4 linked regions of the Struthio camelus genome follow. The protein of the gene in region 4 interacts with the protein of the main gene of each other region in a biochemical or structural test. Links are inferred from orthologs where the notes say so. Each region holds a gene or a part of one and is shown on either strand. Other genes may lie near its edges. The genes, in order: RBBP8, EIF4EBP1, ATR and ATM.

Region 1 (8,062 bases), on a different chromosome or scaffold from region 4:
GCTCCTTTTAACTTCAGCTTTTTATCTGAAACATATTAACTGCAAAGGTCTGCTTTTCTTTTTTGAAGTTTGAACCTACCTTTACTTTCATCTAGCATTTTCCTTATTCTCTCCTACACATACTGTTTCTAGGTACTAGAAAAATGAGAGACTGGCAAGGCTTTAGGTATTGGAAGAGAAAATGCTAGAAGAAACTGCTGAACTGAAGTAACAGAGCACAAGGATGGTTGGGTTTCTCTTGATGTTCTGAATTCTGAAGAAGCTTAATAACCAAGTGGCATTTCAAGTTGCTAACAAAAGGATATTTTCTCACTAATATCAAGTTTCAAACCAAAAAGATATTTTCTCACTAATATCAAATATTTCTCACTAATACTCAAAGAACAAGAGAGCAACAAACATATATTCTTCTAAAAAGAGACCTAATGCGTAATCCTGAGACATTTTAGTTAGTCTTTCTTCAGTAACAGCGTGATTTAAACTATAATTAAATTTAGCAATTCAAAGCACAAAGAGAAACTTAATATGCTAGGAGGTTCCTGCAATGGAAAACTGTAACTCCTCATTAAAACTATTTGGTATACTAGCAAAACAGCAGATAAATGAGAAGAGGTTGATAATTTACTTGGATTTTCTAAAGTCTTTGACAAAGGACTGCAGAAGAGGCTCTAAGTACAAGCTAAATCACCATGAGATGGGAAAGTAGTTCTCATGTTTAAAAAAAGTGAGGAGGTAGAAAACAAAATGGAGAAATAAAATATCTCATTTCAGCATGGGAAAAGCTAACTGTGAGGTCCCTGATATAGGGGATATATAGGCAGCATGTTTCTTTATATAGTGTTATCCGAAAAAGGAGGTAAATAGTATAAAAGTATTTACTAATCAGGTTGAAAAAAACAGATATCTGATGTTCTGGATCCTGATTTATGATTTTGATAAGAAATACTCATTTTCCTGTAGAGATTAATCTCCAGAAAAAAAAAGGCAAAGTGCTCCTAAATATCTACAGGAGGATTAGCTGGAATGCTGCAGAATAGTAATTCAGACCTGGTCAAATACAGATGATAGACAAGAAGAAAATCCAATTAAAAGAGATGCTGATACCTCAGGCTGTGGCAGACTTTTTTGCAATAAGCACTAACCGAACACTCTTACATAAAGATTGCTGGAAAATATTGTTTTTAAGGATCTCTTCTTTGAATTACACAAAATTGGAGGTTCTAGCTATTTATGCAGTCTCATTCCAGAGTAACAATTCCAATCTAATGGTTTGAAGAGCTTCTGCTACTTTCTTTTTGTATTTCCTTTTTTTCTTCCTCCTCTCTGACAGCTGAAAGGAATGCTGGAATTTCCTAGGAATTAATTCTTTTCTCACAACAATTCCCTCGCAACATTCCTGTAGCGCAATAGCCCATGGGGAGACCTCGGTACACCCAAAAGTTCACAAAACTGATTTCCTCTCTTGAATGACTGAACTGCACCAACTGTTAAAAACAGAGGAGAAAGAGCCAGATAGACACCCAGGAAAGAAAAAAAAAAAAGCATTTTAAGTCTTTTTCCTTTCAGGGTAAAATAGCCAAGTCTTTATATTATAAAGTTTGCTCTTGTAGTGAGACTAGTGATAGTTCTCTTGTTGTAATCCTTTTTTGATGCTCTGCCAATGCCCAGCCCTTCAGTCTCAGCTTAGGTAAAACTTGAGAAATTGTCATCAGCAGCAAATTAGTAGCAACAAATTCTAAACCTGTTCTTGCAAAGAAAAGAATCAAAAAATGCTTTAGCTTGCATCCTTTGACTCACCTCAAGGCATCTTTCTCTAGGTAGCCTCTAGGCCAGAGATGAAGTACTACCTCCTCTACTCAAAGTAGGACTTGGCCTATTTTTCAAGTTGCTCTTCATGAACCAACAGTCTCACTGTCCTTAACGCTGCTACACAACCAGTCAAGAGGAGGGAGATATTACCTAACTCTGATAGGGGTGTGGGGCATGTGTGTTATCTGAATTTGTTTCTGAAAGTACTGAGCAGCTTTTGATAGTTACAGGGAGGTATGCTGTAAACTCTCTGTAATGAATACTTGTAGACATGAATGTTTGTGCATACCTTTACTATAAGGACAAGTCAAAGCCTGCACCATTTAGATCGTCTTACTTTTCAGAATTGCACATCTCTGAGCCTCTTCCCTTCAAGATTTTATGTGAACATTGTATAAATTAGAAGACTTTACAGAGAGGCATTATGTAACTTTTATTGACTGAAGCTGGAGTTGATAATTTATAATTTATTTTATTTTCAATTGGAAAAGCATTGAATAATAGGTTTAATTTGAAAGAGCATTTATCTATAGTATCACCTTATTGCAAATTATACCTGAAATAAGAGAGGGTTTGGATTTCTGTACTTCAGATAATTATACTGCCTTCCTGAGGAGGAAAAACAATCTCTGTCACAGAGAATTCTGAGCAAGTCTGACACTGTAACATTCATTACTGTGGTATATGTATTTTTAGAACTGCCAAACATTACAAGGCTGAGAATAACAGTTAAGTGATGTTTATCCAGCAGCGCACTTATACATACAACGGCCTTGTTCTCCTACACCTTTGCTCTTGTACTTCCGAAAAATTAAATTTCTATAATGTGTGGAAGTGAATGTAAAAGCTTAATTTAAGACCTCTACACCTCAACCCTGCCAGCAACCTTATATGAGAAGTCCATACGGAATGTGTAATGAGCATGGTTTGGGTTGGGGGAGCAAGAGGCTGGAGCGGGGGAAAGGTGTTCAAATTTTCCTTTAAGCTACCAAATCAAAGGAAGAGATAGTAAAGATCTCTTATCCCCACACTCCTCAGACTCTAGCAAGCAGTTAAATAACAAGCCCAGGGTGTTTTAAAAGCCAACTATTAGACTCACTGTGTGGCTCCAGGTTTAATCTAGAGAGAGAGTATCAAGAAATCTGCCTTTTATTCTGTCCATTTAAAAACAGTAAAAATGTACTTTCCTCAGTCTTCATGTTGTTGCCATGAGTTCAGCATACAGGAGCAAAATTTCGAAGACAGTATCTTTTATGAGACTAGCTGACATGGCTGGGAGGAGTAGACAAGCTTTCAAGCACATCAGCCCTTCTTTAGTCTGCTACGCAAGCAGCACCTTCTCTACGTTGTATGTCATTTATCAGCTGTTTTGGTTTGTGATTTACCTACATCAATGAGCTAGGCAATTCCAATTATGCAACACTCAAAAAGAAATTGAAGGCAGTGTTTCCAGACAAACTATATTCACATTGGACAAGGATTTACAGTTCAAAATGTGTTGTCTATGGAAAGGGTTTTGGAGTCTTTAATCAAATCCATTTTAGGACACCAAATCTATGACATGTCCAGAACCCAGTGTCTCCATCACATTTGGCTTTGACGCTCAGTTATTTAGTACAGCACACTGAATCACCAAAGCCACTTCCTGCAACGGACTTTCTTGTAAATCTCTTATCCAAGTACTGACCAAGCCCAGCCCTGCTTAGCTGTATGAAATCATAGCCTAAGGTGGTGTATGTGCAAGCACAAACAGTATACATCTGTCATTTCAGCTCAGTTAGTAATCCAGTTGCCTTCTTTAGAATTAAGCCTTCCACTAAAGGCCAACATAAAATATAATCTTACAAGAAATGTTACTTTCCTGTAGTAAAATAGTCTGAATACAGCATACGCAGATATTAGTGTTTCTTCTGTTAGCTTTTCTGGTCAATGATGAAAAACCACTCATTATGTTGCACAAGGCTGGTTAAAGTGGACGCTAAGTTCCTGTTCTGACCACTAGTCATCTAGTAGCTATTATTAAAATGGATAAATAAGACATGAAGATCAAAAGAAGGATAGATGATACCACAGTGGGATTGCTTAACGAACAAACACAACTTTCTAAAGTTAGTCAGTCTTAGACAATACTGAACGGAGCTAATCTTTTCTAAGCCTGAGTGTTTAAATTTAGGTGGCTAAATAAAAGCTAAAGGAACCTAAGCATAGATTTAGCAGGCTAGTTTTATGCACTTTTCCAAAAGTGCTAAACATCCACAGCTCCTACTGATTTTAGTCAATAACCCCAACAATCACAGCATGAGAGCTGAAAATTATGGTCTATATTTGTATTTGAAAGAAAGCAGTAAGTTTATACAGATGCAGGATTCTGTTGGGGCAGAGATCCTGATCTCTGTCTACACCTTGAATAAATATGCTATAGGCAGGACTGATGTGCAAGTATTCTTGCCCCCCAGACATGAGTAAGAAGCAGCGCAGCTGCTGCTGCAACCCATGTGCTAGGGCAGCTGCTGTATCCTTCACAGGAGGAGAGCACTGCTTCACAAGCAGTTCATGGTTATGGAAGCATGTCCCGTATACTCCATATTCTCTGACCCGTTTCACGTTCAAATATCCTGTGTGGTAATGCAGTAATGCCGGGCAAGATTACACTGGCTGTCTCCCCACATGTAACAAAGCTATGCGATATCCTATACACAGGGTATTCTCTCACACTTATAGGAGGACTGGCACTTAATTTTTCTCTTAGCTAATTGCACTAAACATTTGGGGTTATCTGATTTTAAGAAGTCTGCATGATTAGTGATATATAAAAAAAGACATTTTTTGTTCCCATTTCCCTCTGCATTTATGCTGAGCAAGACCTCTAGCCCAGTGCATCTGCATATAAAATGAAAGAAAGCTTATAACAATAAGATCTTGCTATACTTAACAAGGATATATCACTCCCCCACCCCTTGGTAAATTATTTTGCTGGAGGCTACATCATTCTATCTGAGTAGTATGTTGAGAGTTGACAAAGGCATGAATAATTCACCGCGTATGAAGCCTTCCTTGAGCTGAGCTGAGCTGAGCTGCAGCATGTTGGGCTGGCCTTTGATGCAGACTGGTTGGGCAGGTTCCCGGGCGCCCGGGGAACCGGTCTGACAGGCCTGTTATGCCAACAAATTCTGGTATGATTCCATGCTCTCCAGAATGCAGAAACCTGCCCAGCCAGTTAAATGAAAGGCATATTAGGTTATCCATTGCACATTGTATATATCTTAGGTGCAGCAGATCTCCTCTCGGCACTCTCTAGTGTGGTCCACAGTGGCTTCCTCATCTTACTTACACTTGAGGTTTATAGCTGGAGGGGAAGTCAATAGTAAATATTTATCACCCCGATCAAGAACAGAACTTTTCACAATTCAAACAGAAGGGTGAGTTTTGAAAGTCTTTCTTTAAAATTAACTTAAGATAAACTAAAGCAAAAATTTTATTCTATGCTTGAAGTGGGAGAATGGCTATCTCCTTAATGTGTCTGGGTACTGCCAGCCTCTGTGGCGCTTGTTGACATTTTTGCGACTGCAGCTTTTGACCATTCTGCACGCAGCTCAACATCATCTGCTCTGTCTTCAAGAATATTTACTGGAGAGACAGTTTAATGAACTCAGCACAGGAGTGTGAGATGGAAACTCCACTGCCAATGACTTAGTATTTTGAGTTGGTCAGTTAAGTTAGCTTATCCTTCTCGGTCTTCTCTTTTATAGTGTTTTTTATAATCCCATAATAGCACTGCTGTGAAAAAGCACAGTGCCATTACAGTAATATGTGTGATAACTAATACTTGCTGGACCAACATTTTTTTTTTTAATTGTGTAGTTTTATGGAGTGGGTTAACTAAACTCGATTTACATTTTCAAAATTGACTTAACAGCAATATAGGAAATGTATTTGTCATTCTTAACTGCTTTCTTTCTATATATTTATTAGAAACTTCCTGTTTAGAATGTAATAAGTAACGGTGGTAGCAATTATAATAAAAAAGAGTCTTAATCCAAAAGAGCAGGCAGCCCTGAAAGTTGTACCTGGATCTGCAACTGAAACCATTCACAGGTACAGTGTCAAAAAAGAAAAATTAAACAGTGTGAAAACAAAAGCTGTGGAATCTGGTAACTGATTAACTACTGCAGCACAGAAGTACTTGCTGAGCTGAATAGAAAGGAATGAAGACAGGTTTTGTCATGCCTGTTAGGACAAAATAACTCTTTAACTGAAGTAAATCTGAATCTTCTCACCCTCTGTGTAACTACGTTCTTGAAAACTCATATAGCCGCTTCCATCTCCCTGGAAATGTTATTTTAGTCTCTCTTTAAGTGACACAATCACAGTTCTCTTTCATGAGGTAAAAAAATAATTCCTGCCCTAGTGGACATAAACCACTAGATACGTGTAGATATATGCAAGATTATGTAAGAATTTATGGAAGTCACACAACAGGAAGCTTCAATTATGGAGGTGTTTACTGCCTGCTATTTCCAGGTTGATGCAAAAATGAACATTATTATTCTTTTGTAGATTGCCAATAAAAAGGCCTCCTGAGCAGCTTAAAAAAATGAATGAGAGACTGAAATGACCTTCTTGCTGGCTGCACTTTATCTGTTAGTTAAAACCGTTCTTCAAAGTGTAAAAGAATGGAAAACAACACAGGGGAAGTCTTGCGCTCTCACAGAGGCTAAAAATATGCATCAGGAAAAAGCATTTAATTCTTAGCATCTCTGTTGATTTTACTATCAAATATGGGATTAAAATTTACTTAGACTAAGGAATACACCATTCTCAAAAGGAAAAACTGTAAGTGGCTGAACTGTATGGTTTGACCAGGGACACTCTGTAGAGACCATAAAATGCTCCGAGAGAGCTCTCTTTGCTAAAGCTATAGAATTGGAACACTGTACAATTTTTAAAATTCAAATGAAATACATCATTTTTTAAAATACTGCTTGCCACCCTCTGCCTTAGCAATTTTTGTGCTCCATTTTATTTGGGTTCTTGCCTGATTGCTTTTTCTTTGGGGCAGAGGCCATTGTTTAGGGATTTTTTTCCCCAAAAGGTAAAGGTAAGTAAAATACCATTTCCCAACTGCTATTCTGTTTTGCTTGTTCTCCCGTTCTGAATTCTTGTCGCTCGCTATAGCAAGAAGTAGGTGGCATGATATACAGATGTGCAAATTTTTACTTCAGTCTTCCAAGCCTGAAATAGACTTCCAAGGCTAATATAAATAGGCATAACTACTCAGCCTATTCATATAAACCCAAGTAATATTGGTAAGAGCAAACCATTTCAGTCTGTAGCTAACATAAACAGGCGCTGCTCCTTAGAATCTACCGTCCTTGGAGGACCAGGAACGCTACACTGAAGTCCTGAAACAGCATCCCTCGGGTTGCTTTTTTCCCCTCCATCAAGCCTCTCTAAAGGACCTGAGAGTTCCAGCCAAGCAAATCCCAGCTGTTTCAGACTACAGATGAGGAGCGGTGTAAGCACTTCAAAGAAAAGGGTTCCTTACAGTGAACAATGTTATTGGCATCAGGGAATTTGCCCTTGGCTTGAGTTCAAAAGTGGCTATGCAAGTTGCTTGAGAAGACTCAAATTCAACTCGTGGGGGTGATGGAGTAGCTCCTCCCTATTCTTCCGGAAAAAGCAAATGCTATCAGTGCCAGACAGATTGTGTGCTGTGTGCTCTCCCAGTTTTAAGAAATGATACCATTCAGAGGACTGCCACTTTCTACACTCCTAGTTGAAATTCCACGTAGGTAGCTGCTGAAACGTGTTGCATGCTCTCACTCACTACATATGAAGCTGGGCTCATGTGATGTCCTTAGTGGCAGCTACAACATGAAGTTCATGAAATGAACATTCCTAGAGATTAATCAATATATTTATCTCTCAATGCAGATCCTGCATGACAGGGAGGTTGTGAACACACTGGCATGTACATATATGTGCAATCTGCTATATGTTATGTGAATAAATAAGGGTTTCACTATTACATATATATGCAGGAAAAGAGCAATTTATTTATCATTGTGTAAGTACAATGATAATTGCCATTCAAAGCTGGCTTTAATCTTCGCATCTAAATTTAAGGTAGTAGCAGCAAAAAAATTCAAGCTATCCACTATTCTCTTTTAAAGCTACTTTGTTTGTACTTACCGTTATCTGACTGGTTAGAAACACTAATGCAGCCTCTGCGCTACCAAAAAAAAGGGGGGGG
Region 2 (7,244 bases), on a different chromosome or scaffold from region 4:
TTAAAACACAACAGGGGATGAAGACCTATGAGAAACTACCTACAGCAATAAGACTCAAGCTAAAAGATAACATGCAGAGTATGTTAGCATGGGTCTAAACTTCTGAAAGGTACAGATATTTATTCCCCCAAGAGCTCTTCCAGACTACGCAGAAGAAGGAATTCTTTACAATGCTAAAAGTGAAGGAAGACTAGCAACCTAGAGGCTAGCGTTCTCTGGGATTTTCATCGTACCTCCTTTCAACAATAGTCATTCCACATCTGACCTGAAGGCAGAGCCTGCAGTTGGGCCTTAGAAGAGTGAGTTGTCTTCATATAGGTTGAGGAGGGACTAAACGTACCAAGAGAGTCACGAGAGCTCTGTGGATTTTGCCAGATGTGCACACCCTAACAACAAACACAATCCATATTTCTACTTCACACTCTAGACATTCATTAACCATTTCCAACACAGACAAACAGATGATAATCCTGGAGGCTCTCATTATGCTACAGAGCAGTGCAAGTGTTCAACTTCTATTCTGTTACTTAGAGCACATGAATACAGCTGGGAAGCATTAACTCTAATTCTCCTTTCATGACAATTGCTGCAAGTCCTACTTAAGAATTTCAGCTAGTTGCTGCTTTCAGAGAAAAAGCATGTGTCAAAAATAACACTAGCTTCAGTTCCCCAAACTTTTCTGCATAAACTCAAAAAAGAAATGAGTCAGCAATGTTGACTTCCCTCTTCTTCCTGAATTTTTTCAGCCCACAAAATATTATAGGCTATAAAGATCAGTAGGTCAGAAAGTTTAGCAAAGTGACATCTACTGCCTTCCATTTAGTTTGCTCCTTTGACAAACTCAAGTACAGTGAGCTTCATTATTCCTGCTGTTTGCACTGATCTTTTATGTAGCAGCACAGGGAGAAAATTTTCAAATGTATGGAAAAAGTGATCTCGAACCACTGCTCAGCAGGGGACTCGGACAGCTGTCAGAGTCAGAAATACCCACAGCTGATTTGGGGCACAGTGTCATCATCTGGAACAACAGTCACTTGTCTCACAAGAGACAAACTACACAAACTAAACAAGAAATTCAAGGAGGCTGTGCTGACACAAACTCTTTGAGATGGGTAGGCCCTTTAGAAAATTTTGCACATTATGTTCTTTCTCTAGTATACTGAGATAAAAAACCACATTAGATATAGCATATAGCACATTAGATAAACACTAAGTTTACAGCTCTTGTACTTCCACTGCACTTGCCTTCTGAACAGAGGGCAAACATGGGCTAGTTTTCAGAATCAGTTTATTCTCAGTTAGCTACAAATGACTGAAGATGCAGATCCCTGAAGGACACCATTCCTAGTAATCACACACAACACAACTAGGGGGGCTGCACAAGATGACTTGTAGCAATGAAAGAGGGAGAAAATTCACTTATTTTTTGCAGTAGAGGAGCATAGCATTTTCAGAAAGAGAGGCACAGCACTCCAGAGGAGCAAAAAAATTCCACAAGGCACCAGGCTGTACTTAATCATTGCCAGAAGAAACCACAAATATCAGAGATTAGAATTAATAAGTAACCCAAATTGGAGAATGACTCTACTCCCTACAAGGCTACTCACAAAAAACAGCCTTGTTTATCAAGGCAGACACACAGGTGGATGCTATTTCACTGCAGCAGTATCAGGATTCCTTTTCATTTTTGAAAGTGTAAAATCCTGCTGGCTCCCTTGTTCTCTTTGATGGTGCAGCAGCCAGCAGAGGCCAAACTCCCAGACCCCTGGGCACCCCACACTTCCTCACGTGGCACCCCCTCCTGCAGCTTTCTGTGAGGCTGCCAGGTGAGATGGGGTGGGATGGCAAACAGTAACCCCCACCCCACGGTTGCCCCTCAGAAGAGCCCCCCACTCAGCTGCATCCAGCCTGCTCCTCAGGGATCAGCCCAGCTGTGCTGGCCCACTGAGCCAGCCCCAGTCCAGGAACTGGGGGGGGGAAGACCCTGCACTAGGTCCCCCCACCAACACACAGGGCTCCGGGGCCCCCTGCCAAAATGAGAGCTCCCACTGCTAAGCCAAAACAAGACAAAACAAGAAGGCCTGGGCACCCCCAGAGACCCTCCTGCCCAAAAAGGGCCACTCCCCACAGACCACCTGCAAATCAGAGTGCCCTGACAGGGCAAGAGTCCCCCCATAACACCCCCTATGTCCCCACATCAGGGCAAGAGCCCACACATCCCCTTCTTTCCCCCCTACATTGGGGCAAGAGCCCCACCCCCATAACATCCCAGCAGGGCAAGAGCCCCCTCACATACCCCTGTACCTACCCCCCACATTGGGGCAAGAGCCCCCACATTGGGGTAAAAGCTCCCTCCATAACAACCCAGCAGGGCAAGAACCCCCCACATATCCCTGTACCCCCTTGCACTAGGGCAAGGGCTCTCCATACACCCCTCCATACTGCCCAAAAGAACAAGAGGCCCCCTATAACCATCCCCTCCCCACAACTCTCCCCTCCCCCAACTTCCCCCCAGCAGGGCAAGAGGGCCCCTATACCCTCCCCAACGAGGTGAGAGGTTCCCCCCCCCAAACCAGGGCTCCATGTCAGGGCAAGAGCTCCCCCATATCCTCTCTGCTAGGGAAAAAGCCCCCCACGACCCCGTGCTCAGGCAAGGGCCCCCCCAGCCCCCATACCCTTCACCAAAGGGGCTCCCCCTCCAAACATCCCCCCATCGAAGTGAGAGGCTCCCCATATCCTCTCCGCTGGGAAAAAAGCCCCCCTAAAACCCTCCTCACCGAGGAAAAAGCCCCCCACGACCCCGTGCTCGGGCAAGGGCCTCCCCCCCAATCTCCCCCCAGGGAAGTGAACCCCCCCCCCCCGCTCCCAGGATCCCCGGCCCCTCACGAGAAGCGAGCCCACCGCCCCCCCGAACAGGCCGCCAGCCCCGCGGTGCCCCAGGGCCCGGCCGCGGCCCTACCGCCCGGCGTGGTCCCGAAGACGGTGCCCCCCGGCGTGGTGCTGTAGGCGCCGGGCGGCAGCGCGGCGCCGTCGGGCAGCGGGAGGCGCTTGCCGGGGCCCGGGATGTCGCGGCTCGGCGTCTGCCCCGGGCAGCAGCGGCCCGACATGGCGACGGGCCCGGGGGGGGGGGGGGCTGCTCCTGCCGCCGCCGCCGCCGCGCCTGGGGCCGGCCGCGCCCTGCCCCGCCTCGTCCCGCCCCTTCCGCCGCGCGCACGTCCCTTCCGCCGCGCGGCACGCCGGGAAAAGACCGCCGGGGGCGGGGCCGAAGCGCCGGGGGCGGGGCCGAAGCGCCGGGGGCGGGGCCGCCGCGGCCACGCCTCGCGGGGACCCTCCCCTCGCCCCGCCCCTCAGTCCCGCGGGTCCACGTGCAGCGCCCGGACCCGGCACGGCCCTGGGGGGGCACCCGGGCCCCCTGCTCCCCCCGTGGGTGCACCGACCCTGCTCCCCCGTAGGTGCACCCAGCCCCTGGTCCCCCGTGGGTGCCCCCAGCCCCTGCTCCCCCGTGGCTTCACTGAACCCCTGCTTCCCCGTGGGTGCACCTGGACCCTACTCCCCCTGTGGGGTGCCCCCAGCCCCCTGCTCCCCCCATGGGTGCCCCCAGCCCTTGTTCCCCCGTGGGTGCTCTCTGCTCCCCATGGGTGCCCCCAGCCCATTGCCCTCTGCCCTGCTCCCCCTCGATGCCCCCTGCTGCCCCCCACCCTGACCCCCGTGGGGGGCACAGCCCCTGCTGTCCCCGGGGCCGTCCCCCGGCTGTGACCCCAGCCCGCCCCATGGGACAGCCCGCCCAGGGTGGCCGCAGATGTCCCAGCCCCGCGGCGGGGGGGCCGCAGGGTGCCGGGCCCCGTCCCAAAGGGCTCTTCCCCGGGCCCACCGCGGCTCGAGGCCACCGGCAGAGCCTCCTGCCGGCCCGTCTGCAGCCCACCGCCCCCTGCGCTTCGTTCCCCCTCCGGGGCGCCGGCATGAGGCCCGCCAGGACCCGGGGGCTCCCTGGAGGGTGCGTAACGCGGCGTTCGTTACCGCACCGGGAAGCCTGACAAACGGGTGTGTTACATGTGAGCTGGGACATGAATGGTGTTTGCAAAGCAAGGAGGCCGAGGCAGGAGAGCCGGGAGCATCCCGGAGAGCCGGGAGCATCCCGGAGGTGGGAGAGCCGGGAGCATCCCGGAGAGCTGGGAGCATCCCGGAGAGCTGGGAGCATCCCGGAGGTGGGAGAGCCGGGAGCATCCCGGAGGTGGGAGAGCCGGGAGCATCCTGGAGAGCCGGGAGCATCCCGGAGAGCTGGGAGCATCCTGGAGAGCCGGGAGCATCCCGGAGAGCTGGGAGCATCCCGGAGAGCTGGGAGCATCCCGGAGGTGGGAGAGCCGGGAGCATCCCGGAGGTGGGAGAGCCGGGAGCATCCCGGAGAGCCGGGAGCATCCCGGAGGTGGGAGAGCCGGGAGCATCCTGGAGAGCCGGGAGCATCCCGGAGGTGGGAGAGCCGGGAGCATCCCGGAGAGCTGGGAGCATCCCGGAGGCCAGAGAGCCGGGAGCATCCCAGTGCCGGCGCCGGCTGCTCCGGGCCGATGCTGACACCTGCTGATGGCCGAGGAGAACGGGAAGGCTGCACCGTTTTCCCGTCCTCAGGCAGCATCCTGCCTGCGCAAAGCACCTCTCGGAAAACCCTGGCGAACCCCGAGGACGGTGCCGGGCCCGACGGATGGAGCTGGGCTCCCGTGCGCCAGAGCCTGGTGCAGGGCCGCGGCCGGACGCCGCCGAACCGGCCCCGCGCCCCGCGATAGCCCTCGCTGCAGCGGTCCCTCCTCCGTCCCCCTCGCCGGGCGCGGGACCCCCCGTGGGAACGGGCCGAGACAGAGCGCCGCAGCCGCAGCCCCTCGCCCGCCGCCGGCCGGGGGCCCTTCCCGCCGGGCCAGCTGCTGGTTCGATTACCGGGAGCCGGGGCAGGAAAGCCACACATCCGGCGGCGTGGGCTGACATCAGCGCTGCCCCCCAGCCCGGCGAGCCCGCTCGCTCTGGAATAGCCCGGCCCGGCCCTTTCCTCCTCCTCCTCCTCCTCCTCCTTTGGGCGGTGAATAGCCCATTAAGGGGTCAAGGAGCCGGGGCAGGTCAGGCTCCAAGGGCACATCCTGGCCGGGATGCTGAATCCCGGCCCGACGGATGCCTCTGGCCGGCGCTCCCGGGGGACGCCCGCACGGACGGCGCCGGAGCGGGGCAGGACGGGCTGCAGCAGCCAACGCGGAGAAAGCCCTGGTGGGCGCTCGGGGGCGGCGGGAAGCCCCCCCGGCGGGCGTCCTACCCGGCTGCGAGCCGGCAGACGGGGGAACGTCGTCGTTACCTGCCTGCTCCCGAAAGCCTGTCTGGGCAGGGGCAGGTTTATCCCAAGGAGCCGCGCAGGAGCTGTGCCCCCCCAGCCCTGCTGAAAGGCCCCTGGGGCGCAGGGCTTCCGGCAAGGCCCTTCCGACTGTCCGGCTCTCAGCGAGACGGGCGCTGGCACCTGCTGAAAGCCAGCCGTCGCTGGGTCCTGGCCGTGCGAAAACCCGGCCCTCTCCGGCCTGTGAAGACACAGCTTTTCCAGGCCGCATGCATGAAAAATGCATGCAGAAATCTATCAGAGAGGTTTAAAAATAGCATTTAGGCGGCGGGAGCTCAAGGAAGCGCTGGAAGGGCCGTGGGCAGAGCCGGGCAGCGCCAGAGAGCTCGCGCTCGCTGCGAACCGAGGATGTAGCTGCTCTGCTGCGTTCCCCGCGCTTCGGAAAGCTCCAGGCCGTGCTTGGGGAAGGCGACGCTATCCTGGGCTGCCAGCAACGTCCTTCCTGGACGGCGCCGATAAAATCTCTGTTGCTGGAGAGACGTCCCCCGAAACGGGCTGGCACCGGGCGAGCGGGCCGGGAACGCGCGGCCCCGAGCCCTAACAATGGCCTTTCCTCTTCATTCATCTCCGTCTCTCATTTCCCACGCGGGCTGGGGATAAAAAAGAGAGGGACGGAAGAAAGGGAAACCACCTGGCCCCGGGGCCGGGGAACAAGCAGCCCCGGGCAATAAATCAGCGATGTTTCTGCGGGCGACGGGAGACGTCGTGTAATCCGGCGTTGGGCAATAGGGCGTTTCTGGGTGGGTCAGCGCAAAACGGGGAGACAGCACAAAACCGGCACCGAGAAAAGGGCTCTGGCGGCAGGTTTTGGAGGGGGAGAAGCACGGGGACCGCGGCACCTTCACAGCGTCCCCGGGGTGCTGGCGGCCGGGGCCGGCCGGAGGTGCCGGTTTTAGGGGGCCGGGAGAGCAGGGCAGAAACGGCGGATGCGATGTAGGCGGACCCGGGCGCTTCTCCCTTCTCCCCGTCCGCTCGGGGGACGCGCAGCGGCTGGCGGCCCAGGGAGGGAAGGGCTCCCTGGGGCGCGGGAAACCCCGCCGCCCCCCCGCTGCCGCCCGGCCCGGGCTCTTCTGCCGGCAGGAGATCCCCAGATAGCCCCAGATTTAATAAAAAATGACCTCGGGGAGCCGGCGGGCGCTTTCGTGGGCACTGCCGGCACGGCCCCTCCTGCCTGCCTCCGCGCGGCCCCGGCAGCGTGAGCGCCTTCGCTGCTGAACCGGCTGATTGAAACAGCTTTAGGCGAACGGCCGGGAGCAGGCGCCCGGCGGCGGCCATCCGCCTTACGGGGCCTGGGCAGCGCCTCTCGCCAGTCGCCAAATATTGCTGTGCGTGCTTTTAGGTGCTTAGCTTTAAATGCTTTATTTTAGTCTTTGTTTATGTGTTTATATTTGGATATTTATATGCTTGCATTTGATCATTTATTTATATATTTATGTTTGGATATTTGTATATTTGCATTTGGATATTTGTATATTTATATTTTTAAACGTACATTTGCACAGCTGCGTGTATACGCGTGCAGCCATACGGCGTGATTTGCCAGGGAAGCCGAGCTGCGGGCGGCCGGGCCGGGGCGATGGCAGGGCGCCGAGCGCTTCCGCCGCCGTGTTTACGCGCCCTCGATGGCTGCCGCAGATAACGGCAAACGCGCGTCCCGCCGCCGCCCCGGAGCTGCCTGCGCAGATAAACGCGGCCCCGTAAACAACCCCATCCTGCGGGAAGCGCCCGCCGCCCCGGCCCTGCCCGCCTCGGCGCGCGCCGCAGCCGCCGTCGTCCCGTCGGGGCCCGGTGGCCCCAGGCCCCTCGGTGCACAGTGGCTGTTGTCCCCTCGGTGCACAGCGGTGGCTGTCATCCCCTCGGTGCACAGTGGTCACGC
Region 3 (7,995 bases), on a different chromosome or scaffold from region 4:
AATTTTTAAGATAAAAACAAAAGCTCATATTAAGGCCACCTTCTTGGGAAAAAAACAAGCTGCTCATCACTAAAACCATAAATCTCCTTGCGATAAAGGCATCTAGGCTTGATAAACAGAATGCCTTCACAGAGACAGGAAACCTCTTTGAAGAAGAGGGAAAGTGGGGGAAAAAAAGGGCACAACAACAACAACAAAAAGATTTCAGGCTAAGTATCATTTCATCTACATTTTCCGCATATTTAAAAAAGACTTAGGAAATGACTATGGGTTCAGGATGACTATGGGTTCCTTTCCAACAGGAACTGGACAGTATCTTAATGACTACACAACAGTAATGAATAAGGTCAGACTCTGTCCTGGTATATATCTCGACAAGTTTCCATTATCACAAGTGCAAATCAATTTACAGTTATAAAAGGATATCGTAAGATTAACTTATAAACATGAAGTGCTGAACTTGCAAGAGAACAAAAACGGGGAAAAGGGAGATTTGCATGATCCACGGGCAGAAAATTTAAATCACGTAAATACCAAATTTCAACATAAAATTTTTCAACCAACTCACCAATGCAACTGCATTCAGTTTCCTCCTGATTTCCATCCATGTTTACAAACATAAGAGGGGAAGATTTCATGATATGTTGAATAAAATCAAGCAGCATTACAGAACTTGGCTGTGAATCAGATTTCTTAATAAGCTCCAAAGCAACTGAAAAAAGAAAGGCAGATTTCTGAATTAGTACCATGACACAGCAACTTCACAGATTTTGTTCATACTTAACAGGGAAAGAAGAAAATTATTACATAAAATATTATTATGTGGTATTAAATCTGTAGAGTTATCAGTTAGGAGTGCTTTATAAATTTGCAAAGCACAAGATTTTTAATGTTGTGAGCATATATACTCATACGCCTCTGCACTTCACATAGTTACTTCTTCTAACAGTTATACATTTGACTCACATTACTTCATATCACATCAGCAAAGACTTTATCGTATAGATTATTTTAAGTAAGTCATAATAGTCATTCAGCTATTAAATTTTTGTTGAAATTGTAACTCATATATAACTTATTTTTAGCAGGAATTACATAAAGGAAAAAACAACAACAACCCAAAACAGATGATCATTTTAAAAGCAAGAGGTGCAATGCTTACCAACATCTACATCTGTAAGAATTCTGTCAATGAACTGGCAGAGTATTTGCCTCGGTTTCTGCACAACGGAATTGTATTCTTCTGGATTAGCACTAAAATTAAAAATACAAAATAACTATTTAAAGTGTATCTCAGCAACACAGTGTTAAACACTGAAAGTGGTACTTTTTACTTCTAGAAGACTTCAAAGAGAAATACAAATTGATTCCCCTTTTCAGTGACCAATATATTGTCTGCTTCTCTTTTTCCTCATTTTTCAAAAGAATGAAGTTTTATGATGTGCTGAAGATCATTAAATTTTTGGCTATGCAGTTATGCTTGATATATATTAAATCTATCTCCGACTCATTAAGGGATTTATACACACTACTCCAAAGCAACAGAACAGTTTTGGTACAGAAAAATAAAATTAGGAACCTATTTTAATTTTAGAGTTGCCAAAATTATTCAGCTGACTAGCTGTCAGTACGCAAGGTAAGAGGTATCGACTGCAGCAGCTCTGACAACTAAGATACCAGCTGACGCTGCCAGGTCAAATCTTCAGCATACACTTGTATCTCCACAGCCATTAGTTGCCTACCACAATCACAGCTACAGTTTTTTAGCTTTGCAGATTGCTGCCATTACCACTTTAGAGCCAAACATTGATCTCTGTATAGATGGCCCTGATACAGGCCCCAATTGTGAAAAGCTTGTATGCCAGTTTAGTGTTTGCAGCTTTAATGAACTGAGCTGGACAAGAGCAATTTTTGATGTGTGAGGGCATGTGTAGCAAATAACTGTAGTCTCAGGGTTAAGTAGGTTCACTTCCCCTGATGCAATGAAGATCGCAGCTAGGATAGGGACACTTGCAAAGCACAGTTTGGATTGCTTCAGTGAAGGCTGCAGACTGGATTGCAGCAGGCTTACAGAAAACTCAGACATCCACCTATTTAAGTAGGCTATCTTTCCTGTAACCTGAACGACAACAAACCAAGATGTTCTCTGTACACATGTTTAACCAACCAGCCACAAAAGGTCAAGAACACCTTTGATCAGGGCATTACCTCAAGAAGCAAGGGATCCAAGTTCCAACTCTGCCACAATCTCCCCCCTCCCTGACATAAAGATGGAGTCCGTTTTGGCATCTGCACAACCGGTGCTCATGCTACTCTTTTGCTTTATGTGGTTGTTATAAAGCACTCAACTACTGCACTAAAGGGAATGTAAGACATTCAGGTACTGCAGAAAGGAGTTTTCCATAGCTTAAAAAAAAATGAAGGAACAAATGGAACAAAGAAGGCTGTTCCAGTCATGCCATCATCCCGAGGGACCTTCTGGAGTGCATGCCTCAAACACGGACGTTTAACATCTCACTTTCAACTCTTCTAACTGAGCAGCAGCGAATGACGATTACAATTTACAACTTCCAGATGCAGTTCTGACTAGAGGAGCTTTAAACTAGTAAGGCGTCTAATCGAGTAGCGCAAAGCACGCTAGAGAGGACTAACAGATGCTTTAAGGTCTTTCAATTCTCAGCGAAACCCCGCTGGAAGCACAACAGAACAGCCCTCCCCAGGAGGCCGGGCGCTACGCCCGGGCAGCCCAACGGGGCCCACCCGCCCGGCTGCACCCCGGGCTGAGGGGTCGGGTCGGGGCAGGCCCGGCCCCGCGAGGCCTCCCTCGGCGGTGGGGAAAGAACCTACTTTCTCCACTTCCCCACAGCCACCCGCTCCCCCCAAGCCCTCCCGCCTAGGAGGGGCCGGCGGACGCGGCTGCGGGGCCGGGCGCGCCCTACCTGGCCAGCTCCCGCAGGGCCGGGATCATGGAGGCCATCTCCAGGCCCTGCTCGGCCATGGCTCCCGCTTTGAAACGCGCGGCGCGGCGCGGCGGCGGCACCCGGCGGACGGCGGCCGGTAGGGCTCAGAACACCGCCGTTCTCGTGCGGGCCGGTTCTCTGCCCGCTGCCCCTCCTCCCTCGCGCGGCTGAAATTTTAACCGCTTCGTCACCAGCAGAAAGCCCCGCGGGGGGGGGTGGGGGGGGGAAGGGGGTCAGGTCAGGTTTTTAGCGGCCTCTCAGGGGAGGGCAGCAGGGCGCTCCTCGCCGTCGCAGCGCTCAAAGTGGTAAAAACAGAAAGGGGGCAAGCGTACAGCGGGGGGGGGGGGGGGAGGAATACCGCCAGCCATGAGTGGAGCCTGTCACAGGGGCGCTGAGGAGGGAACCTCGGTGCCCCTCGGGCGGAGGCCCCGCCGCCAACGGCCGCCTGCCCCGCCCGCCCGCACCCGCGGCTGCTAATTCCGCCAACGGCGAGACTGTTTTATCGGGTCACGGGAAACGGCGCCGCCGCAGCCCGCCCCGGCGTTGGCCCTGGGCGCTGCCGCCCCGCCCCGCCCCGGCGGCGGCAGGTGGCGGCGGGGACGCGGCAGCAGGAGCAGCAGGTAGGGAGCGGCTGCCGGTGCCGGTACCGGTGCCTGGCCCGGGGTTTGGGGCCCGGCGCCGGGCCTGGGGGGTGGGACGGGACGGGACGAGGCGGGAGGGAGGGCGCAGCCTGGCCGTGCGGGGTCTTGGCGCCCGCCGGCTCTGTGCCGCTCCGCGTAGCTAGCAGCAGGAAGGATATTTAAAATATAGTGGTTATTTTTTATTTGTCAGTGTGCGTTACTTTCCGTTCGTGTTCTTTTGAGGGGACAAAGGTATTTGAACGCATAAATGCTTTAAAGAAAAACCCTAAAAGCGTTGTGCAATGTACTTAAAGTAGCCTGCTTTCTTACGCTACAGGAAAAATTAAATGCGTGCTTTAGTAGCAGTCCTGGGATGTAATGGTGATTGTCACTGTATGGCCCATACGTGGGAGCCCTGCCCACGCAGCAAGTCTGTGAGACCTCGGAACGTGAGAGGATACAAAAAGCGTTCTTGTGTGTAGATACTAGTAGCAGGAAGAGTACTTAAGGGCAAATTGAAGTCTGAGCTTTGCTTTTCTGATTCAGAAGCATAATACTTTCTGCATTTGTTTCTGAACTGCTTAGCATTGTTTCTGGGCTGAAATAAAATCCTCTCAGAGGCTTGTAATTCTGTTGCCTGTTTCCACTGCACTGTGCCTATATCTTTTGCATGTAAAACAGCCCAGGAAATGAAGTGGATGCATCTGTGTGTTGCTGTTACTGATTCATTGCAGGTGCATGCTTTTAGGGAACCTATTGCTAATTAACTTTTTCAGCTACACCTGGTTATTTTCATCCTACAAAATACCTGTATACGGTTTCATACAAAGTTTTGCTGATCTTTCAAAGATCAAAGAGTACCCTGGTTGCTAACATAGGAAGGAATGAGAATGTTTCAAGAAACGTTGCAAAAAATAATTGAGTTTCATCTTAAATTTTTCAACGCTTCTTGCAATTTTCTCTACCAGCTGACTGTAAAATATTGGCCTTTTGAGATTCATTCCCAGGAGCGAAAACGGTTTACACGTTTTCTTAAGTAGAATTTCAATGATACAGGAAGACAAGGTACGTCTGGGTTTTGTTGTCAATTTTATTTTGAACAGAGAAGTTTCTACACAATTTAAATAAAAATATATACTTCTTGTTAGAACAACAATCTGAGTGTAAACTGCCAATTCTGAGACAGCAATCACTGCATAGAAAGTGTAAATTGCACTACTTGCTAATTTGAAGTAGAATGGAAGTCTCGGTGTCATCCCTGATAAACTTGGGATCCCAACAGATATTTAGCTATCTTTCCTAAGAAGATTTGGAGTAGAATACATACATATTCTTCAGCTTTTAATCCTAAGAAATACAATAAATTTATTGAAGCATAGAGAGATGTTTTTTTGTTTATAAAGAATAAATGGGGCAGACAAAGTGCTTGACAACAACAAATAAGTACTTTTGCCTGGAAGTCTCCCAATTCAACAGTGAGCTCATGCTAATATAGCTATTGCAGAAACACTTTCATTTGGCATAGGTAGAATTCTATAGAAATTTATGTTGCAGTTACTTCAAACGTGTAATTCAGGCTTTTTTGTAGTAAATACTCCCAGCAATTCACTAAAGAGGTGTCTCCTGCTCCCTACCCCTCAGTGGTAGTGAGGCCAGGAGCCTCTGTTCTCTCCCAGTGACAAAGCCTCATGTGCTGCCTTCTGACCATATCATCATGTTCTTCCTGTTACCTTGGTCTTAACAGGACTCTCTAGTGCCCCTAATGACAACTGCATTGTCCCAGGTTCACAGTGTTTGTGCTGTGAAGATAAACGATGTCTTCTCGATGCTCACCTTAAAATATTTTTATGGGCACTCACAAAACCAAAAACACCTAGCTTTGCCCCTTGCTTTTCTTGAACACACAATAAGAAGCTCAGTAAAATTTCAATTCACCTCCGTCTTGTTTCTCCCTCATCTCATTATTTTATACTTTATATGTCTCTGTGTCCTCAGTAGGAGGGGGAGATGTATTATCATCCATCTGGAGAGCGTGCCTCATGACTAAAGAAATTAGTGTGCCTTGAGACTGTTTTGTATCTTCTTTTCCAGTGCAGATCCATATTGGTGAAATAGGTGTGCAGAACTCCCAGCTTACAAAACTCAGGAAAATTCATGCAGGGAGTTAGAGCTAGGTATCAAATGCAGTGTGTACAGTAGTGTCAAGATATCTGCTAAAAATTTCTTCCCCTCCCTCCCCCCCCCCCGCCAACTTGAACAGTCCTCTCACTTCTTGCATGATTCTCCCACACCTAGGCCTGCATCTTCTTTGGCATTGGTTGTTTTTTTTTTTTTCCACGTACCTTCCCAGGGCACTCACTTAAGTTTCATACTCACACTGAGTAACACAGAGTGACTTTGCTTTGGGCCAGCAGGTCCTACACACAAAGGCATGTTGATTCTGCTTTTATTCATTCTGTTGCAATTTAATTCAAAGATAGAGGTGAACGTACTGTTCTTCTTGGGGCTCATCCACTGCGTGGATGTGTGAGAGATGGTGCCTGTTAATAAGACTGCAGTTAAATCTCAGCTGTCCCTTGTCAGTAGACACAAGTGATTTACGATGACCTAAAGGCACCTGTGTATTTCTTGATGTCTTCATGAACCGTGAAATACAAACATTGTACAGGCTGATACGGTGGTCAGAGGAAGTTCAGCCAAGATGGTGCAGTGAGCTCCTCTGAACTGTACTAAGTGGTTTTATGTAATATCAAGGTGTGCTTATGGTTTTTCACTTGCATGGTTGCTGTAATAATACCCAATGGTCTGTATGATTACTTGAAAACTTATTTCCATATATAGTCATGAAAGTGCTTGTCAGAGTAGTTGACTGACCTTTGAACGTGTTGAATTGTTCCTGTACACCATAAAAACGTATATTCCGGAAGGCTATGTTTTTGTCTATGCCTGTGTCGCCTAGTCAACTTGGCTAGAGGGAAGAGGCACAAGTCAAAATAATATTCAGTCCGGAATATTGGTTTGATGATTTTAAAAAAAAAAAAAAAAAAAAAAAAAGAATAGTGAAAAGTTGAAATAGTAAATGTCAGTAAGGGCCATTCACCAGCTGGCATCCTGAAAGCAGGAATATATAAATTCAACCACTAGGCAAAAACTGACAGGTGAAAGAGGGGACAAAAGTGAGGAAAGAAAGAAAATATATAAAACTGTTTTTTAACACCCCCTTTCACTCTATGTTATCCACATAGGTCCTAGTCTTGCAAACACTTATCCACATATTTTTAATATGAATAATCCTGCTTACGTACTTAAGACTATTCATGAAGTAAAATTAAACATTTGAGTAATTCAGAGAGATAGTGTGTTAGATTATATGTTCTTTGGGAACCTGGCATTATTATTTGTATAGTAGCAGCCACTGTTTTTTGCTTATGCACAGACGCTACTGATAAAAAGTAGTTGCCTGTATATATATCTCTGTTATTTATGGTTTTTGCTTTCTAGTAGAAGAATATTACTCTTCAGGTTAGCAGCTTTGGAGTAAACTCATAGGAATTTATTTATTACCGGGACTAGTGTTACAAAGTCAAGACTTTCCTGAGTTGATAATTCTGGAATAAAACTAAGATGCTTGGAATCTACTTCCTTAAGGCAAAACTTTCAAAATTTTAAATGCTGATTAAAAAAAGTATTCCATAACTAGGGAATGTGATTGACAATAATGACTCCTTGGGAAAAATGTTTGCGTGGTTTCATAGGCTCACGCAAAACTCTGTGCTAGTCATGGCAGGAGAAAACTGTGCAGTGTTTTAATTTAAAATGTCATTTAAACTAAATTTGTTTGAAAGTTCTAGCTGTTTTAATTACAAAGGTTCTTCTTTTTATTAAGAACAAATTCTTAAAATCCGAATAACTGTGCTAGCTATTTTCATAGTAAAAATTTGTTGTTTTCCTATAAAGCTTTCATGAGAGGAGAAATAATTTTCTATCTGATTCTATGTTTCACACTGCTCAAGACTAGAATAGAGTTTAGGCTTGGTAATATTGATAAAAGATGTCCAGGCTATTGCTAAATGCGAGAGTTCTCTAATTTTCTTTCCGTGGCTCACTGTAGAAACCGATGAAATGGAAGGAGAAAGGGTAGTCACAGGTTTTTGTCCTTCTATTGCCTTTGTTAGAAGCCAAATAAATTAAGCCAATGTATGCATGTTGTAGCATTATTTTCCCAGTAGGGTATGGTTTTTTTTGTGTGTGTTTTCCCAGTATTTAAGACTTCTACTACTCCAAGGGATTTGTATCAATGGGATGGATATCACCTTTGCAGCACATGATAGGAAAATGTCTAAACTAAAAAGGTTGTACCCATATCCTTATCCTTTAATGCTCATATAAAGTCTAAGTCTGTGACGTTAGTGGCC
Region 4 (7,489 bases):
AAGAGTTCCACACACTTTCAATATTGTGGACAAAATCCCAGACTACATGATTGAGTGGTACGTTAGAAGAATGGAATGCAAAACGGGAAGAAGATACACATACAAATATCAAAAGTTTGATATATAGCAATATCCAAAACCTATAATTTTGTTACTAACTAAAAAAATCTCAGGTCATATATGCTGAAAGTGCAAAGCATCAAGTTGTCCTGTAGTTATATGCACCTATCTACGTACGCAGCTGCACGTTGTATTTATACCCATGCCCAAAGTTCCACGTTTCATCTGGCACAAAGCAGATCATACTGATTAAAGGGGAAGCTGAATCAAAACATAGCTGTTTTCACCAATTTTTGACACGCTCAAATAAAGCTGAGGCACCTTACCTAAATTAGTATTTACATGAAAGAGAACATTACCGACTGCTGTATCTAAAAAAAAAGGAAGTGATCTTCAATAAATCACTAGAGCAATCCTGAAATCAATTAAAATGCTTGGAACACCCTTGTATATATCAATCTTGAAAACAATGAAGCAGACTAAATGTAACATGCTGAACACAATTGGCATATTTTCCTCTTAACTATTTATTAGTAATGTTAAATATTGAAAGATGCTGAGAAATAGAGATGACCATCAAACTAAACAGCTTAAGCACCATTTGAGAAGCAACTGTTACACTGTTCATATGTATTCTGAAAAAAACTCTGAAAACTCTTTTTGGGGGGAAAAAAAGGCTTCTCTTCCGCGGCTGTAACACAATTTAACTTGCTGTGTTACAAATACAAACTCACCAGCAAGCAGGCCGGAATAAACCCATCCTCTGTACAGTGCTCTGCATATTCTTTCAAATCTGAGCTTTCCAAAATAAATTCACGGCAGGTAGCTAAAAGCTTTTCCTGTTGTAAATACCCTGCAATAAATCAGACAGAAGACTTTGCTATTTTATTCATTATTTCTGCATGTTGTGCTTGGTAGGTATTGAAGCATTAATACGACCAACTATATGATATAACGTTGGAACAATTAGATAAGGATTCATGCATTAGATAAGGAAACTGAAGTCATTATGAAAGAACACCTATCTTGCAACGTATTCCTTTAATAGTTAAAACCAGAAAGAGCACATATTATTAACATTGTACTGGATTTACAAACTGTTCAAGACTAGAAGTGAGACAATATGAACAATTTCTGACTGATCGTTAGTACACATAGCACTGTACAGACAAGAAAGAAAATATCAACTTCTTAAGTCAGGAATAAACTCACACATGGGTTTTGATTATAAACATCTAGTTTTATAAACAAATAGAATTCTATAGTACTGTATTAATAAAATGCATTGCTGTGCAGCAATAACTCTCCATAAATTCTCCAGCTTCAGAACAGGTAGAACATATGCATCGTTAAGACAGCGCATTAGATTTCTTCCAAAAATGACATTATATAAAAATTATTTTTACAAAATCAGTATTTTGTTTTTCTACTTACCGTAATTTTCATTTTTAATAGGTATTCTAGTGTACACTTGTACACTTTATATACCCTACCCCAAGACTCAGTAGTTATCTTACCAGGAACTATACTGAAAAAGTTCACTTTTTCAAAATCCCAGTCCTCAGTTAATATGCTCTTTTAAGGTATTTTAAATCCCGCTTTAATCTTCAAATAGTCTAAACGCTAAAAGGTAAAGCTAGATCAATCTGAGTAAAGGATTACAGAACAAAAGAGCCATAAAACAAAATATCGTGCCTTTTCTTTCTTATCTGTAGCAGAACTGCATACGCAATCGTTTAAAGAGTTAAAATACACATACCTAATCATATTCACACAGAACCCCAAAACAGCCTGCCTCAGTTCAGGAAAGTCCATAGAAAAATCCTGCCTTTAAGTTCACATGAAGACATAATATCTTTTATCAGATCCAAGCATAGCTAGAAAAAGTAGATCAGCTTTCACACTCACAGGCCTCCGACAAATAAACTTCAAAGTTAAACACAGTTTGAGAATAACTGCTGAGAGTTTCATTAGGATGTACGAGCTAGCCCATATGGGACAAAATGTAGTTGGCACCTGCGGAATAGAGAGGGCTGCCATATTTAATGTTTCAAATACATTTTGTTAGAAAATCCTCAAACCACAAATTGCTAGAAGCTGAGGGCACACTGGGGGAAATACACCTACATGCCAGTCTTATGCCTGTCTGCTGTACCATCCATTGCTGACCAGTATTACAGACAGGGCATTAAGCTAGATGGGAGTTCGACTGTAAGAACAGCCATACCAGCACAGATCAAACCCATCTTCTGGATCTTTGCTAAAAAACAGTTGCAATTTCTTTCTTGAGCCTCCTATTGCGAAGGATGACTGAATGCCAGCACACAGGCCTATTTGGCACATACATCAATTTCCTGCAGATAACGGCGACTGAACTTAAATTGTCTGTGCACGTACATTACAATAACAGAATCATATACAACCTTCAACATTACCAAAAACAAGTTAGAGGCACAAAAGGAAGAGTGCCTGCTGAACTAGAAAGTATTCAACATTTTGTTCTATCTTAATATATGTGAAGACCTATGGTCTACCTTACAGTACTCATTCACTCTTTACCTAGAAAACGATAAATTTGCTTATGCCTTTTTCTACAGGCAAGCTCATCTTACCATTTTAGTTCTGTTTCTTAAATCAATACTCATCAACACTCACAGCACCAAAAAGACTTTGCTAGAGAAAAACAAAAAAAAAAAAAGGAAGAGGAACTGCGCTAGGAAGCCTGTTGATCTGCTCAGAATTCAGATGCCTCAGAGAGGAGCAATCGCTATTAGAAGACAAAAATAACTGTTAAGAATATCCTGTTCTACAATCTTGGGTTGCTCAGAGATTTTCTAGGACTACTGCATGCACTACGCCACAACAGACGCAAGATAGGACGGAGCATCCTCAATACACGCGAAACGTTCAAAATTTTTATTCTATCTACAAGTCTCTACGCAGCACGTGAGATAAACTGTTTACTAAGAAACTTACAACTTAACCAAAATTTTATCGAAAAGTATAGCAAGTAAATGGCCAAAAAGAGATATCCCGCGCCAAATTGTAAGTGTTCTTTTACAATGCACAGAATTTGAAAAAAATCCTATTACTTTGCAATAATAAAAACAATGTTTCTGTTGTTACGCTCAGTTCTCGAAAAGCAACAACAAACGTTTCAGGTAGCGTTTAAAAATAAATAGAACTGCAGACAGACGAAAGAAAAGATTCAGCCTCACTGGTTTTTGACTGGCAAAATCTGCCCAGGCTGTCTGTGCACCTGAAAACAGCATCTTGCTATGAAAACTGCCAGGAAATCTTAGCGACCTGGACCAGTACCTGCTGACAGCGTACCTATTACATATAGGGGTCCTACTTCCAATCCACGGCCACTTGCTCTCATCTTTGGCTGTGACCAAACATTGCAAGCGTAAAGTCTTTTTAGCAGTTTATCCTCCCTGCTGTCAAGGTCCTGAAAACACTTGTTTTATGCTTCCCACGGACGCAGCGCGCACCACAGAAGGGAGTTCTCGATCTGACCTCGCGGCTCACGGAAACAGGGAAAGAAAAACCAGCTGAACCCTCACCTGTTCTCATCTGGCCTCTTGGACCACCGGGATTGGTGCTGAGAGCAGAGGCTCCCCCCAGTCTCGCCCACCAGCCCCCGCCCGCACAAGGAGGCGGCAGAGCCCACCGGCCTTCCCGGGAGTCACCTCAGCGCCGCTCCCGGGCGGCTCCCGACGCAGCACCCGCCCGAGCACAACGTGGCGCCTCCACCTGCCCCGCCGCTGCCTTCGCGGGGGCCGAAAGCCGCCGGCGAACCGGCCGCGCTCCCCGCTAAAAGCGGGGCCCAAGGCCGCCCGACCGCCCCGGGGCGGCCCAGGCACTGCGCCTCGCCGCGGACACGGGTGACATCCCCGGCGGCGGGCGGCCACGGCCCGGCGCCGGCCGAGGCTCAAGGGCGCAGCGGCTGCCTCCGCGCGCCTGCCGCCCCGAGCGCCCTGTCAGCGGCCGGCGGAGCCCCCTCCTCGCTTCTCCTCGCCTCTCCCCTCCCCTCGCCCTGCGCGGCCGCGGTCGCGGCCGCCTCCGCGGGCCCGGCGGTGCCCGCCCCGCCCGCGCGCACTCACCCAGCACCAGCCGGGCCACGTCGGACGGCAGCAGCATGACCCGCGGCGCGGAGGGGCAGGCGGCGCGGGCGCGGCGAACGCGGCCCCCCGAGGCGCGGCGCGGCCGCCCCGCCACCCAGGGCAAGGCGCGGAAACTCCGCCAGCCAGCGCCCCGCCCGGCCCCTTCCGCCGGAACCCGCCGCCGCGCATCCGCTTCCAGGTCCGCCGCTGCCGCCGCCCACACGTGCGCTGCGCTGCGCTCCTCTCCTCTCCTCTCCTCTCCTCTCCTCGCCCGCCGCCGCCGCCGCGAGGGGGGCGCGCGCCGCCGCCGGCCGTTAAGCCGCCGCCGCGCGCCCGCGCTGCGCTGCGCTCCCCTGACGCCGCTCAGAGGTGGGCCTGCTCCTGCCCGTCCGTGCCCTCCCGATGCCTGCCCCCGCCCCGGCTGAGGGGCTGCTCGAGGCGCGGTCCCCGCGCGGGTGCTGAGGGGCGGCCCGCGCGGCGGGTGGCGGGCGGCGGGGAGGCAGCGGGCGGCGGCGGCGGCCCGGCGCTCGCCTGGCGGCGGGCTGGGGTGGTCGGCTGTGGTTACCCGCGAGGTGGCGGTTGGGCCGCTGTAGCGTAGCTCGGTGAGGAGCGCTCGGTGCGTGTCTGCTGTTTTTAAAGGGCTCCTTCCTTGTCCCACTTGTCCCAGGTATTTTTTTTTTTTTTTGAAAGGGGATGAGTGCCGTCATGATTTGGTAGTTGGCGACTGGGCTGCAAAGAGAAACGGCAAGTGCGTACAGTGTTAGGAACTTGTCACTGTTGTTGTCATGGTAGTTAAAATACCTTTAAATGCCAGTAAAAGAAGACGCGGCCCTCTTTCTTCTTGAGCCCCAGTCCCTACAACATACAACCCCGTGTTGCCACAGTTCTCAGTCAACCCTTAATTTTTCATCCCATCAATGTTTTAGAAGCCTTTAGCATGTGAAATGTTGTTTCTTGCTTTCGGTTATTTTCGGCATAAGTAGCAAGTTAGTAGAGGAATGCTTCCTTGCTTAACTGAGCTTAGTTGTACGCCAGAGCAGGCCTTTCAAGCTTGCCATAGGTTCCTTTTCCTCAATACCTAACTAGCCACCATCCCTTTCTGGTCATGTTTACTCAGCTCCATTTCCGTGTTGACTGTCTCCATCCATCTTAGCTGCTAGCTGCCACTACTACATGGTGGTGCCTTAACGTTGTGTTTCACGGTTGTCTTGAGTTCTCAGTTCTGGTCACCTTTAAGACACAGATTTACAAGGAAGAGAACAGGAAGGTGGGCACATGAATATGTGACAGGAAAAAGGCCATTCAAGTCGTGATGTTCCCATAAATCCTAGCACTGTGATAAGATGGAAAGATGATCTTAGGGGATTAAAGACAGAGGTTCGAACTCTTCTAGAGGAACAAGAGCTCTCAATATTCAGAGTTTTATGCACAGGACTATCTGTCAAGTTTGACCTTTTGTCAAAGAACGTGCTCAGTATTTTTTTTTCCTGTGATGCGCTGTATAGATGGCATAAACGTCAAACATTTGAAATCTGCTGTTTTGTTTTTGCTTTGGGAAGGGTATATGTCAGGGACCCCTGCCCCTGGTTATTCCACAGATTGGTCAACTCTTCTGTCCTTTTTCTCCTCACCTCGGTTTTTAATGCGGTCAAAGTAATCACGTGGATTATAAAGCAGTCAAAATAATTTGCTATTAAAATGTGGTTTCCAGACATATATGAAGAAACCCATTTGTCTCAGCGTGATCTCTGTTGAATCCAAAGAAGATGAAAGCAAGATGATGTTTGTATAAGACGGTAGATCTTTAAAGTTTTAACTGCCTTATTCAGCTAAATGGTTATTTATATATTCTTACTTAAGTGTTCCGGGGCCAGTGATGTGCATCATGTATGCCAGTTCTCAGCTTCATACTGCAGCTTCAGCAGCATATGCTTGGTGTTACTTCCAGCATGTCCATCTCTGTTTTTCAGATAAGAGTTTGTCCTGAGGCTAGTTTAAGGGAAAGGGTACAAGGAGAAGCATGGACGCTGCATACAATTTCATTGTCATGATCTGCGTCAACATAATTTTCTGGAAACCAGAAATGTAAGGTTGATCTGATTCGGACGTATGTTAAAAGAGGTAGGGCATAATCTTAAGTAGTAATAGAAGCAAAAAAGTATTTTTCTCCTGTCGTTGATATTTGAGCATCTTGTGGTATTTGGAGTCCAGAGGCATTTGTAAATATAATGGTGCATAGCTGTATAATAGAGAAGGTTAGAGTGGAAGAAAGTTTTATTTTCAAAGAGCTGCCTTTTCCTCATCAGGTTAAAAGTGCTTCTGATAACTGCTATGTCCTGAAAGTTAGTGCTGTTTGCCTGATTAAAATGACATAGAGCCGAGTGTGTTCTCATTACCGTTCATGTTTCAGTCTGTATTGTCTCATCGACTCTCTGCTCTTTCATTAGCCTTAAAAAGAAGGAAGTCAGTCATGTGAAAGGACCCTTTTCTGTTTTTGTCCACAACTACTGCTCTTCGGAATAGATTGCATTCTTGACATGACACTTTCTACTTCTGTCTTGTGAGCAATAGCACCAACCCAGAGAGGAATGAGCTTTTGAGTGAAGTAAAGCTGTTGTATTTGACATGGAAATGCAATATATTGAAAATTCAAAATTTTGAACTGATTGACTTGGCTCTGTGTTAAATAAAATAATTTATTTCATCCTTTTTTTCTGTTTGCAGATGCAAATGACTGTCCTGTTAAACTGAACCATGAGTCTTGTGTTACATGATCTGCTCGTTTGTTGCCGTCACCTTGAGAATGATAAAGCTACAGAGCGAAGGGTAATAAGGTTTCTTCTGGTATATATCATTCTCAATGAAGGGAATGATTAATAACCTTTTTTTTCCTGAAATACATTTTCAGAAAGAAATTGAAAATTTCAAGCGACTGCTCCGTGATTCTGAAACAGTTCTCCAACTGGACCGGAATTCTGATTCTAAACAAGCAAAGCAACTCAGCTGGGATGCTGTATTTGGGTAGGTTCTTTTACTGTCCAGAGCAAAGCATTTTTCTTCTTTTTTTTTTTTTTTTGGTGAAAGGTCATGTTTCTTGCATGGAACATCACTATTTTGTTTATCAGGCTTATTTAAATGCTTATCTTCCTGCGGATTGATTGAGGCTTCTTGTCAGTCAAGAAATGACTTATGTTACTCTCTAAAAGAAATAAATCTAAAATAGCCAAATAATGCATCAATCATCTGAGTACAACACTTTCCACTTACAGAAGATGCAGGGGCACACAGCACGTTGTAAATGTACAAACACTAGAACCGTCTCC

What was found.
Region 1: of the proteins of ATM (region 4) and RBBP8, one has a biochemical effect on the other in vitro, tested with the Homo sapiens proteins (4 studies listed by BioGRID, with this or other methods). The link is inferred for Struthio camelus from reciprocal best matches to the Homo sapiens genes ATM and RBBP8.
Region 2: of the proteins of ATM (region 4) and EIF4EBP1, one has a biochemical effect on the other in vitro, tested with the Homo sapiens proteins (2 studies listed by BioGRID, with this or other methods). The link is inferred for Struthio camelus from reciprocal best matches to the Homo sapiens genes ATM and EIF4EBP1.
Region 3: of the proteins of ATM (region 4) and ATR, one has a biochemical effect on the other in vitro, tested with the Homo sapiens proteins (2 studies listed by BioGRID, with this or other methods). The link is inferred for Struthio camelus from reciprocal best matches to the Homo sapiens genes ATM and ATR.

The regions. Positions count from the first base shown.
Region 1 is NC_090943.1:120,909,300-120,917,361, forward strand, and holds the start of RBBP8 (DNA endonuclease RBBP8), read left to right. Parts: upstream 1-5,053; 5' UTR 5,054-5,228; intron 5,229-8,062. UniProt on the Homo sapiens protein: Endonuclease that cooperates with the MRE11-RAD50-NBN (MRN) complex in DNA-end resection, the first step of double-strand break (DSB) repair through the homologous recombination (HR) pathway.
Region 2 is NC_090968.1:7,033,272-7,040,515, reverse strand, and holds the start of EIF4EBP1 (eukaryotic translation initiation factor 4E-binding protein 1), read right to left. Parts: upstream 3,213-7,244; 5' UTR 3,108-3,212; coding exon 2,960-3,107; intron 1-2,959. UniProt on the Homo sapiens protein: Repressor of translation initiation that regulates EIF4E activity by preventing its assembly into the eIF4F complex: hypophosphorylated form competes with EIF4G1/EIF4G3 and strongly binds to EIF4E, leading to repress translation.
Region 3 is NC_090950.1:15,508,376-15,516,370, forward strand, and holds the start of ATR (serine/threonine-protein kinase ATR), read right to left. Parts: upstream 3,112-7,995; 5' UTR 2,999-3,111; coding exon 2,940-2,998; intron 1,255-2,939; coding exon 1,163-1,254; intron 713-1,162; coding exon 569-712; intron 1-568. UniProt on the Homo sapiens protein: Serine/threonine protein kinase which activates checkpoint signaling upon genotoxic stresses such as ionizing radiation (IR), ultraviolet light (UV), or DNA replication stalling, thereby acting as a DNA damage sensor.
Region 4 is NC_090942.1:205,615,910-205,623,398, reverse strand, and holds the start of ATM (serine-protein kinase ATM), read left to right. Parts: upstream 1-4,395; 5' UTR 4,396-4,535; intron 4,536-6,158; exon of another isoform or gene 6,159-6,287; intron 6,288-6,890; 5' UTR 6,891-6,920; coding exon 6,921-6,992; intron 6,993-7,074; coding exon 7,075-7,187; intron 7,188-7,489. Other genes in the region: protein NPAT, read right to left, coding at 795-913, 4,167-4,203.